Xenopus tropicalis: one gene and its partners. The protein of the gene in region 3 interacts with the protein of the main gene of each other region in a pairwise test. Links are inferred from orthologs where the notes say so. Each region holds a gene or a part of one and is shown on either strand. Other genes may lie near its edges.

Region 1 (4,113 bases), on a different chromosome or scaffold from region 3:
ACAATTATTCCATTAAAATAAATGTTTTTAGAAACTATAGCATAAGAGAACTGGCTAAGGAGGCAAGTCACGTTTCTTGGGGGTCAGTCACTCTTTTTGGGACCCCACCACTCACAGCGAGTGCCCCCCTTCCCATGTCTAACCTAATTATGACCCCCCCATTATTGGAAGGGCCTAAAACCCACCTAAAATACATGTAGCTTTAGGGCCATGATAAATCTCCATTGTCACGGGCAACTAATCTCCCCGCAATGCCATTCCACTGGCTAGAATGTACATCACCGGTGGCGTGATTTGCCGAAGTCGCCAAAGCTTTCTCTTAAGGCAACTTCGGCAAATCACGGTGCCGCGTATGCCATCCAACCGGATTTACATTTACATTCTAGCCAGTGGGATAGCATTGCGGGGAAATTAGTCGCCCGCAACAACACAGATTTGTTGCAGGGCGACTAATCTCCGTGTGTCATGGCCCTTAGGATAAAAACATAGGAAGCTACTTAGTAGTAGCTATTGTCAGGGCTACTAAGCGCCAGAATATACCCTGCCATAGACAATACTAACAGCTGCATTTGCAAAAACACAGAGGCAATTATCAAGCATTGTCTATTTTTGTATTTTTCAGGGCCGCCGCTCCCTATAAGCAGAGTACTCAGTCTGCATAGGGCACCAACTCCCAGGGGGGCACCATCCCAGCTACTCCAAAAAAAAAAACATTTTTCTATATTATAACTTACTTACTATGGGGGCATTGTCTATGGGGGCAATTGGGGGCACTGTGTGTGGGGCCCCCATAGTAGGTGTTTTTTTTTATTTTATTTTTACTTCCGTAATATTTGGGAGAGGGGGCACAAAAGTAAATTTCTGCTTAGGGCACCCATTTGGCCAGCAGCGGCCCCGGTATTTTTGTTTCTTCCCCCTGAGGCAGGGGAAAGAGAGCGCTTTTGCTGGTCTGCCACATATGTTACAGAGAAAATAAAGGTAAAACTGACACATCTTTAATATTCATGTTAATACTTAAAAGAACCCTGGAACTACCCTTCCACCTCCCATAACTCTCCGCCGCCAGCCAGTTGCCCGACAGAAGAGCTAAGGGAGTGACGTCACTCAATGCGCGCTCCCGACTCCTGGGCGCGCCCCACTCGCTCCCGCGGGCTTTCGAGGCGAGGCCGGAAGTGACGCAGGCGGGGAAGCTTCCTGTTATCTCGCCGAAGAGTTGATTTTGTCGGGCGCTGGCTGCTCTAGGTTTTTCCTTCATAGACGCTGAAGGGAGAGCAAAGGAGAAGGAGTCGTGAGTGAGAGAGAGAGGGTGTGTTCTGAGCTACTGAAGCCCTTTCGCGGCCTAGCTTGCTTGGGCCATACGTACAGCCTTCATCTGTATCCGCTTTTGCGCCCGGGCTGCAGGGAGATCCGCTGCCAGCGCAGCCATGCAGGCCATTAAATGTGTGGTCGTGGGAGACGGGTAAGTGACGGGCTTCTATCGCTTATTTTTAATTCGAATGAATGGGGTTAGACGCTGAATCGCAGTGTGTCGCGTCTGGCCTGGGGCTCTGGGGATCTACGCGTTCTTCTGCGGTGGAATTTTCACCTTCCTCGGCTGGAACTGTGGCATGTCAGCCTCATAGCGGCCCAGCTGCTGGGGACTACAAGACCCGCAGAGGATGTCGGATACTGTAGTTCATAACAGCTGGTTGGACTCATTTCGTTCTTCATTGGGTTTCTTAGATAAATCTTTCTGCAGGTCTCTGATTACTAGATATTTATTTGGGGTTTCATTTTTACTGCTGCCCTCCAGCTGTTCCCTGGGTGCTGGGGGCACAATTGGCATAAGGGTCCATGTTTGTAATATATTGTAAATGTGTCAGCAAATTATAGTGCTAATATTATATAAAATGGATAACGTTTGGGCCAAGGTGCCTTCGTCCGCAGTGATGAGTCTTAAATCCTGTAGTGTAAAAAAAATAATAAAAATATATATATATATATATATTAGATGTCCGGTTACTAACTGATACTCATCAATATCCAGCAATCAACCCAGGAGCGAATGGAAAGATACGTCAGGAGGGACTATACAGTTATACGGCCACCCTCCCATTGTTACGATTGGAGCACCAGGAAGTAAAGCGCCGTTTCATCTCCCCTTCACTTCCTCATGTGCTGATGCGCTGTGCCCCCCAGTATATGTATACAGAATATAGAGCAAAACCCTCTCAGTTCATATGGGCTGCTTTACATTCTTGGATTTCAGTGCCCTAAGGCTATAGCTGCAGCATGGAACATGTTCTAGATTGATGCTTCCTGCTGCAAGGGAAGAAGAGTCCTCCTATGCCAGAGGCAGTGTGTGTTCTCCCAGTAATCACCGTTGCTAGAGCCTATTTCCCTTGAAAAATGGTAGGAAAAACACTGTTAGATGCATACGTATGATTATGGTCAATATTATAGACCAGATCGGCTCATGTTCCTCACTCCATGGTTAGATATATTGAAACTTCACTGGGTAATGTACTTTAAATCTTTCCTTTGCTATTTAAGCTGTTATATTTTCTACTTACTATGGTTTCTCTCTTTGTCCTGGGCTTTGATTTAATAGACTGTAAATTTGTCCATTCAAAATGTTATTGTATAGTTCCAGCATCAAGTGGACATGTATGTATAACTTTATTTATAAAGCGCCACAAGGGTACGCAGCGCTGTACAATCTCACAGAATACAAGGGAGGACAAGTGATATAATAAATAAATACAATTAATATATATATATATATATAAGTGCCATGAGACACAGTAGGAAGGAGGTCCCTGCCCCGTAGAGCTTACAATTTAAGTACACAGTAGGAAGGAGGTCCCTGCCCCGACATGTAAACAAGACATTCATTTAGACAATATTCCTTTCTAGTATATGAGGGTATTTTTAAATGTCTTCTCGTCAGTTTAAATGCAGGGTACATGTGCCACAAATGCCTCGGTCACATGAATTGTATTTGGCTGCATCCATAATGCCGCATTATGTGTTTCATAGGGTACCACTAGTGGCAGGCAGGCATGGGATGGTGCCCCCGAGAGCTAGGATAAATAAGGTTATTAGAACAATTGAAAATCAGGACCAGTAATAGGAAACCCAACTTGTGGGGCAGCACTGATGGCATTTCCTAGCACTTTAGTAACTTGCCAATCAGTTCAGCTCTGCTAGTTGGGTATTTTGTATGTTTCCTGATTTTTCAGATCATTTGATAATCTTAAGGTAAATTTTGTATGGTGTTTGTGCAGTGTAACTGTATTGCTGTCAAAAATATTATTTATGTGCCAGTCAATGGAGTGCTGATTGTTCTTACACAGAGGTTGTCCATCTCTTTAGGCAAACTTGGCTAAATTACTACATCTATATGCTAGAGCAGGGATCCCCAACCTTTTATACTAGTGAGCCACATTCAAATGGAAAAAGTGTTGGGGAGCAGCACAACCATGAAAAAAGGTTCCTGGTGGTGCAAATAAGAGCAATAATTGTCTATTTAATAGCCCCTATGTGGACTGGCAGCCTACAGAAGGCTCTGTTTGGCATTATACTTGGTTTTTATGCAACCAAAACTTGCCCCAAGCCAGAAATTCAGAAATGAGCACCAGCTTTGAGGCCACTGGGAGCAACATCCAAGGGGTTGGTGAGCAACATGTTGCTATGAGCCATTGGTTGGGGATCACTGTCCTAGAGTTTCTTTAGCATCATTCCCTTATACTTTTTGGGTGTTACCATGTTGTAGCTATGGTGCCCTCTGTCCTCACTGTTCCCCAGTTCAGTTATTGCTCTCCCAATCACAAATCTTCTTCATTTTCAGTAAACAGCAGCTTAACACCCAGTACCGATTTGCTTATGGCTGCATTGTGTATATTCTCTTTCCTCATTAAGACTATCAATCAGACAATTATTTTTTCCTGTGGACATGGCGACTTGTTCAGCATATTATTAGGCAACTTGGTGGCCAAGCTTAACTTGTGTATCATTTTGTCTAAAAGACGCACAAGAAAAAGGCACACAAAATAGAAAAACAATTGTTTTTTTGTTCGTACAGAGACTAAATGTTTCAGGGTGCCCCAACCCCTCCATCAGTAGTACAGCTCT
Region 2 (4,294 bases), about 93 Mb from region 3:
ACCGTGATACCGATATAATTTTGAAAAATACCGTGATATAAATTTTTGGTCATACCGCCCAGCTCTACTATTTTGCCCCCCTAACTTCATGACACTAGCCCTTTTTTGGGGGGGTGGGATTTGTATATGTTCCAACCATGCACCTGATTATGCTCAGGGTCGGACTGGGCCACGGGGCATCTGGGAAAAAAAAAGGTGGACCCCCCAGCGGCCCAGACCAGATCCCTGTCGCCAATCCCCCAGCCGCCAGTGTCCCTCCCCTGACACGTTGAAAGTAAGTTTTGCACTCAGGGGAGGACATGGGGTGGGGGGTTAGGTGGGCACAGTGCAGGGTGTGTGGGACATGGCAAGGGCACCTTCAGGGGTGCAGGGCCCACTGGGGCTACTGCCTCAGTCTGACCCTGATTACGCACAGCGATGTGTAACTGATGTAATTATGGGTGGGTTTTAGGTCTTTTTTAACAGCGAAGGCAGGGGCGGGCCAAGCCGACCGGGCGCCCTAGGCAACCCGGTCGGCCAACTCCGCCCCCCCAACGACGCATGCGCGCCAAAGCACAGGAGGAGGTGCAGGGGGGGGCGGTGAGATTAGATCGGTCATTGCCTCCGCCGCTAATGACAAGCAGCGGAGGCAATGACAAAGTAGCACTAGGGGTAGGCAGAAGAGATGCCTGCCTGGCGCCCCCCAATCGTTGCGCCCTAGGCAGCTGCCTCTTCTGCCTACCCCTAGTTCCGGCCCTGAGCGAAGGTTAATATTAATTAAGTTGTGTATTATGGGAAGCATGGGGGGGGTGGATTCAAACAAAATAGGCAGAGTCCGAAAAAATGTGTGTTTGTGTACGTCTTTTTTCTACCTAACTTACTATGTAATAACAGTGGTCACCACAGTAACAGCCCAGTCTCACTCTAACCATAATTTGCACTGAAATTAGTGTTAACTCCAACTGAAAAAGGCCAAAAACCCATCCAAAATTACCTCAGATAAAGGCAGTTTTGGCCCAAACTGTGCGTGTAGTCAGGGCATATTGGAAGGTTAATTTTTATGAATTACAGGTGCAAACATTGCCTCAGGAGTAACTTCAGCAACATTTGCGTTCCTTAGACTAGTGAATGCCGCTTACTGATTGGTTGCTATGCGTTACTGCGAACGGAGCAAACTTGCAACCTGCTACTGCATTGCCCCTTGTTAGCTAATGAAACTCCACACCCCTGGCATACAAATTCTATTTATTTAGTGCACACTATGCCAATTTGCCCCGGGCTGCACATAAATACCCGAATAAGTAAAACCCACACTGTTCCAATGTTATGACTCCCTGTAAAAGCTAATCACGTCCACTGCTTTTTTTCGTTTTACACCGACCGAATGACTCCGCCACGGCGAGCTGCCAAGCACCAGCAAATCAACAGCAGCAATACACCTGCTGGCGCCCTCCCGCTCTCTCTGCCCAGCGGCGCACCTTGTCATTGGGCAACTCGGCCTGACGCAGGGCGTGTGACGGCTGCGCTTTCGGAACTGGTTTGTCCTGTGGGGCTTGCTGTAGGGAAATGGTGCTCAAGGCATAGAGAGGCTGGCAGCGCTTGGTCTCAGCAGGAAGAGACGCGCAGCACTGGAGGTCAGTACCCGGGGTGCTTCTGGCAGGTGTGTGGGGGAAGTGGGGTGCAGTGTGCGCAATGGGGGACCTGTCACAGCTGCGTTCGTCCATGTGCATGGCAGCGTTTGACAGCCCTCGGCGCCACAGCTGTTACATAAACTTCAACATCTACACATAGCAGCGCCGTGCAGGGCATACTGGGAGTTGTAGTTTAGAAACACGCAGAAGAAGGCTGCATATCCCTGGAGATAGCTGTGTGATTATAGGGTATCTGTGGCCGTGTGTCCGGCTGTCAGGCTTGTGTATGGCTGGCTAATGCCATAGTGAGTGTGACTGATGCGGGGGGGTGCCTGGGAGCTTCTGCAAGTGTAACATATCCATTTCTCTTCTCAAAGCAACAGGCCCAACACTATACTAACACCATTACTGTCTGCTATAGGGCTGGGCTGAAATGTGTTTGCCTTGGGCCCTCTGGTTCATAGGGGGCCCCTTAGGGGAAGACTGGAAATAGATGCAGTGTGTGGGTTGCTTTGGACACATGGCTGGATTTACTGCATTTGTTTGTATCCACATGTAAGTCCTTATTAAGGCCAAGTGGATTAAAGGAGAACTTAAGGCCAAGAAAAGATTTTAGCTGGAAATGCTCTGTTGAATATACTGAACTCACTGTACCTAGAGGTTTAACAATCCTATAATTGTAATGATCTAGGCCTTCAACGTTTTCTCCATCTTGGATTTTGTTAGGCCAGCTTTAAGTGTCAGTGGCATTGCACATGCTCAGTGTGCTCTGGGCTGCTGTTGAGAAGCTAAGCTTAGGGGTGAAACAGAAAATGAGGTTCCTCTGTCATAGAAGCTGATTCTTAAATTGAGGCAGAATGCATTGGTTTCTGATCTGCCGTGTAATTGGAGTCTGAATTAGCCTTGTATTGTGAAATTAATGTTTTATATATAGTATATTGTGAGTGGGTCCCTAAGCTCAGGTTATAGTGTGTCATTTATATTCTATATATACAGGATAGTGTGACATTTATAATCAATATATACAGGATAGTGTGACATTTATATTCTATATATACAGGATAGTGAGACATTTATATTCTATATATACAGGATAGTGGGACATTTATATTCTATATATACAGGATAGTGGGACATTTATATTCTATATATACAGGATAGTGGGACATTTATATTCTATATATACAGGATAGTGGGACATTTATATTCTATATATACAGGATAGTGTGACATTTATATTCTATATATACAGGATAGTGTGACATTTATATTCTATATATACAGGATAGTGTGCCATTTATATTCTATATATACAGGATAGTGGGACATTTATATTCTATATATACAGGATAGTGTGAGTGGGTCCCTAATCTCAGGCGATATTGTGGCATTTATATGCTATATACAGGATAGTGTGACATGTAAATGCTATATACAGTATAGTGACATGTATATTCTATATATACAGGATAGTGAGACATTTATATTCTATATATACAGTATATAGTGAGTGGGCCCCTAAGCTCAGGTAAGTGACAGCAGCACAGAGTATGGGCAGGGAATCAGCAGAAAAGAAGATTGGGGGCTATTATAGGTCAGGTGGATCTTGATTACACTGCCAGGGTCCTGGAACTGAATAAGATTAAGCTCCTCCCCCAATAAAAAAAAAAAGAATTGTCAGACCATATAGCCGGGCGCTTGGCTGGCCTTGAGGGCCAGATGAAAGAGCTTTCCAAACAATAATGTAACCTGCTGCTGTTGGAGAACACATTCCCCTGTGATTGCTCTGTAATGTTTTCCTTTTGCATAGTCACAGGGGAATTAGCTAGCGGGATCAGCTGGGGACTGGGCCATTATTCAATTACTGAGAATTTATGCTAAATCCTCGATGTCATGGCCTGTTATCATAGGTGGCTCCCAGGTTAGCACTGTCTGTAGAACTGGGGGTCCTGGGTTCACACTTTAAAAAGGGCCTGAAACGTGTTGTTACTATATAATAAAATGTGTTGTTTATCTTTTGAATTAGCTTTTAGTATGATATAGAGCGTGCTATTCTGAGACCATTTTCCATTGCTCTTCATTTTTTATTATTTGTGGGTTTGGAATTATTTAGCTTTTTGTTTAGAAACTCTCCAGTTTGGAATTTCAGCAGCTATCTGGTTGCTATACCAGATTATTATTACCCTAGCAACCAGGCAGTGGTTTCAATGAGAGACTAGAATATGAATAGAAGAGGGTTTAAATAGAAACATAAGTAATAAAAAATTACCGTAACAATAAAATTGTAGCCTCATATAGTAGTTTATGGGCTGCTAGGGACCCTATTTTAGGGTGAGGACACACGGAGCTACTAGTAGCAGCTACTTGTTGTGGCTACAGAAGCAGACAATTCTGATCATTTACAGATAACTGTCTGTGTGTTTTAGCAGAGGCAATTCTAAGTATTGTCTATGGCAGGGGATTTTCTGGCGTCAAGTAGTTGCTTCTAATAGAAGAAGATGGTCCAAATAATTCAAAACCTATAAAAATGAAAAGTTGCTAAGGATTGTCCATTCTATAACGTAATAAAAGTTAAACTTAAAGGTGAACCGCCCCTTTAATACTGGTCTATGATATATATTGGCTACACAGTTTTAAAAATCAGCTGGGTGGAATGATGGAATCTGGCAGCCGCTTTTTTCTAA
Region 3 (3,652 bases):
CTAGTAAATACCAGAGTTTCTATAAAATGCCATAGTCACTATTTAGTGGGCTGTTTGGGCCTCTTAGGCCCTGGCATTTCAAGTACAGAGAGACCCAAACAGCCGCACATAGGCCCAATATATAGTGACTGTCTATGGCATATTACAACAGCCCCTCTGGCATTTTCAAGAATCCACAGATTGCCAGTGCAGGCCTGTCTCTGCTCCAATGGAAATCAATCTTACATGTGCGTTAGACACCTCTTTGACCATCTCCACAGTCAGAGAGAGAAGAAGAGTTTAGAAAAGAGAAGGGGGCGGAGCATCATGTGGCTAGGAAGTAGTTAAGAGTGCTAAAACTGAGCTGTTTGTGATGCAGAATCTGCATGAGAATGAGTGCAGGAAAAGAGGTTTGCTATTTTGGGGGACTGTATAGTCATTTTAGAGAATTAAAAAAAAAAAAGGTTGCCTTTTTAACAAAAAATAAATTCATACAGTAGCTTCCTACTTTACGGCAACAGCTGGAGGAATATGACAATATTCTATCTGCGTTTTGTAGGCCTATAAAAAGCAGGCAGAAAGAAGTGGAGCCAATGCTTAATAGGACTTCGACCTTACAGTCTGAGTCAGTGGTGTGGACAATGCAGGGGCCAATTAAATAAAATACCTTTTAACGTATTCAAGCTTTAATGTGGGGGTCACACAAGGTAGACCCGTGGGCCAACAACTGGACAGCACTGATCCAGAGGAAGGTAAAAAAAATCCTTATTGGGCAGAGAGTACATTCCCCTTTTCGCTCCGTAACTGTATTCGGGGGGCGCAGATCCCTGTGCTCCTTACAGAGTGCAGAGACCCATGGAAATTCATTTTTGCTCCCTGCTTATATTCATTACGTTTGTGCTTGTTAATTTCTGTTTATACATAATGCACAAACTTGCAGTTTATTGCACATACTATTTGCAGTCCCATCAGATATATATACGCTTGAATAGTGATGTCAGAGACCCATCACTGACACTACTTTGATGCCCCTTTTACAAATAGTTATTGTCCAACATGTCCTCTGTATATTGTATAGAATAAATTACCCTCACTCTGTGTTATAAACATATTGTCACATTTCTTCAACAAACACAGCTTACATCTTTGTAGGCATATAATCCCATGCATCACTAAAAAAACAAAACATTTCTTTTATTGTACTAAACATGCTTACAGGTTCAGGCTTTGCTTCAGATTTTTGTATGGGAACAGGCTTCATACTGGGAACCATTGGTGGCGGCCTTTGTGGCACCAGAGCTGGCTCTGTGGCTGGGACATTCTTCTGTGTTGAATTCAAAGAAACAGACTTTGGTTTTTCTTTCAAGCTACTGTTTTGCGGACGTACACCAGTTTGGCCCACTTGTTGTTTTTCTGAAACATATTGAAAAACCTGATGTAAATGAACATGTAGCGTTTTACAAAAACTCTTGTTTTAAAATGAATAACTAATGAATGGATGAAGAGCATACAATTATAAAATGAATTCCATAAAGTAATAACACAAAATACAGTATTTAATACAGCAACAGATTTTCACCTTTTTAAAGCAAATATTCTCTTTCCCTTCCTTCTTACTATGTAAGCTTAAAAGATTTAAACAAATTACATTATAGTGATTTATTGGCTCTCAGCAGCAAATATTTCCCATTGCTCTATAACTTCAGCAATTGGTTTCAGGTTCAAAAAGCAAAACGTTATGTTCTCCTTTATTACCTGGGGAAACACAGCTGCACACCCAGGCTCCTACACAATTTGAATCCAGGGCACAGCCCAGTGAGATCGCACCCCACCAACTTATAGTAAAGGCTAAATTAGGACTGGCAGAAGAGGATACAATGATGCTGGGATATCCTCTGCAGAGACGTGTGCATAATGAGTGAATTTACTGGCTCGCTTAGTATGCACATGTGAAGGAAGATCAGGGGATTCATCCCTTAATCCTATGACACATAATTAATGTACATAGTGAGAAATCTGGGACAGTTGTCATTATACGCATGCTTAGAATCCCAACATGGCTGCCCAAGCCAGGAGCTCCTCCCTGTGCAGGGGGCATTGCACTCAATAGGAGCATTTTCTGGCCCAAGTATTGTTTCCCAAGTACTGCTTCCCACAGTATTATTAGCCCGCACCTCTAGTGGGGGAAACAATTTCACTATAATAGGTGCCTTTTAACATAGTTTATAACTGTTCTCACCTTTGCTGTTATCCATTAGCCATCGTATAGCTTCTTCTGCCTCCTGGGTTGTAGTTGCCTTAATCTGTTTCACATTATACGGTTTGCTGATGCCAGACATTCCTGAAGACTATATCAGAAATAATCCAACAATTACTATAAATCATATAAATTATTTTGAACTCAGTCACTATGAGTAAAGATGTAGCAGTGTATATCAGCGCATTAGTACCCATACCCCTAACACCTTCAGCATGCCATGCAATAGGGGTCATTTACAATGGACCTTGCAGTGTACATAGCCCTCCAATCAAGTGCTGCCTGTGTTATGCAGCGCTCAATCCAAGAAGTGTGGGGGGAGGCAGGTAGGGTTTCTCCACCAGCCCCCTAACGTGTGTGTTATTCAGATGGACAAGTTAAGGAGCATCAGGAGGAGCAAGCCTGCTTTGAAGCCCCGTCAAACCTGCCCTGCCAACCTGACAAATCCAGCGTGAAGGGCGAAGCCCTACTTTTCCCTGGACGTGAGTGCTTCTTAAGTGAGCACCAAGGGCTGCGCCACTGGGGTATGGTAAATGACCCCTTATGTATGCTAGGTGACAGCTTGAGCACAGTGGCGTAACTAACCATACAAAGTACCACATTGATTGAGGGGAGGGACACATAATTCACACCACATTAAACACTTAACCATCTGAAAGAATGGCATTTCCATGTCAGTCCAGTCACAAATAAATGTTGCAGATGTAGCTATTCTATCTACAATATTTTGTGGCTAGAATCTAATAGTACAGGTATGGGATCCTTTATCCGGAAACCCGTTATCCAGAAAGCTCCGAATTACGGACAGCCCTTCTCCCATAGACTCCATTTTAATCAAATGATTCATAATTTTAAAAATTGATTTCCTTTTTCTCTGTATCAAAATTTCACTCTGACTGCTGTACGCTTCAGTTTCACTCAGTGATAATTATGCCCCCTTATCCCATTATTTTAGTAGGCAATGGTTGGTGATTTCAGGCAGGCAACAAAATCTCAGCAAATACTTGTAAATTTTGCCGACCCTGCCAGGTTAATTGTGTTATTGCTTGAAAATGTTCACTGTTGCATGTCTGAGCAATGACGTAATTACACTGGCAGAGCAATTACAAGGTACATATGCATATATTTTACAGAGTTCGATGATTTAGTATTACACAAATGTAGGCACACATCCGATTCACAAAAAGAAAAAAATGGCAGATTACAGCTTGTAATGCCAAAAGGCAGCAATACAGAATTGCATCTGCTTTGCCATAGTAAACAAATAAGTCAAGGGTAAAGGTGATGTCACAACAGTTTCCTTACTATTAAAGGTGCAGGAAAGTTACACTCGCTGGGGGTGCCAAAAGAAGCAGGAAGAGGATTGCTCCCAGGTGTAACCCCGGGTCAGTGCAGTTTTCTGCTAACAAGAGCAAC

The links.
Region 1: the proteins of synj2 (region 3) and rac1 interact in a two-hybrid assay, tested with the Homo sapiens proteins (2 studies listed by BioGRID and IntAct). The link is inferred for Xenopus tropicalis from reciprocal best matches to the Homo sapiens genes SYNJ2 and RAC1.
Region 2: the proteins of synj2 (region 3) and itsn2 interact in a two-hybrid assay, tested with the Homo sapiens proteins (2 studies listed by BioGRID and IntAct). The link is inferred for Xenopus tropicalis from reciprocal best matches to the Homo sapiens genes SYNJ2 and ITSN2.

What each region holds. Positions count from the first base shown.
Region 1 is NC_030685.2:25,457,287-25,461,399, forward strand, and holds the start of rac1 (ras-related C3 botulinum toxin substrate 1), read left to right. Parts: upstream 1-1,256; 5' UTR 1,257-1,424; coding exon 1,425-1,459; intron 1,460-4,113. UniProt on the Homo sapiens protein: Plasma membrane-associated small GTPase which cycles between active GTP-bound and inactive GDP-bound states.
Region 2 is NC_030681.2:145,826,471-145,830,764, reverse strand, and holds the start of itsn2 (intersectin-2), read left to right. Parts: upstream 1-1,430; 5' UTR 1,431-1,613; intron 1,614-4,294.
Region 3 is NC_030681.2:52,444,238-52,447,889, forward strand, and holds part of synj2 (synaptojanin-2), read right to left. Parts: intron 2,328-3,652; coding exon 2,219-2,327; intron 1,393-2,218; coding exon 1,196-1,392; intron 1-1,195. UniProt on the Homo sapiens protein: Inositol 5-phosphatase which may be involved in distinct membrane trafficking and signal transduction pathways. May mediate the inhibitory effect of Rac1 on endocytosis.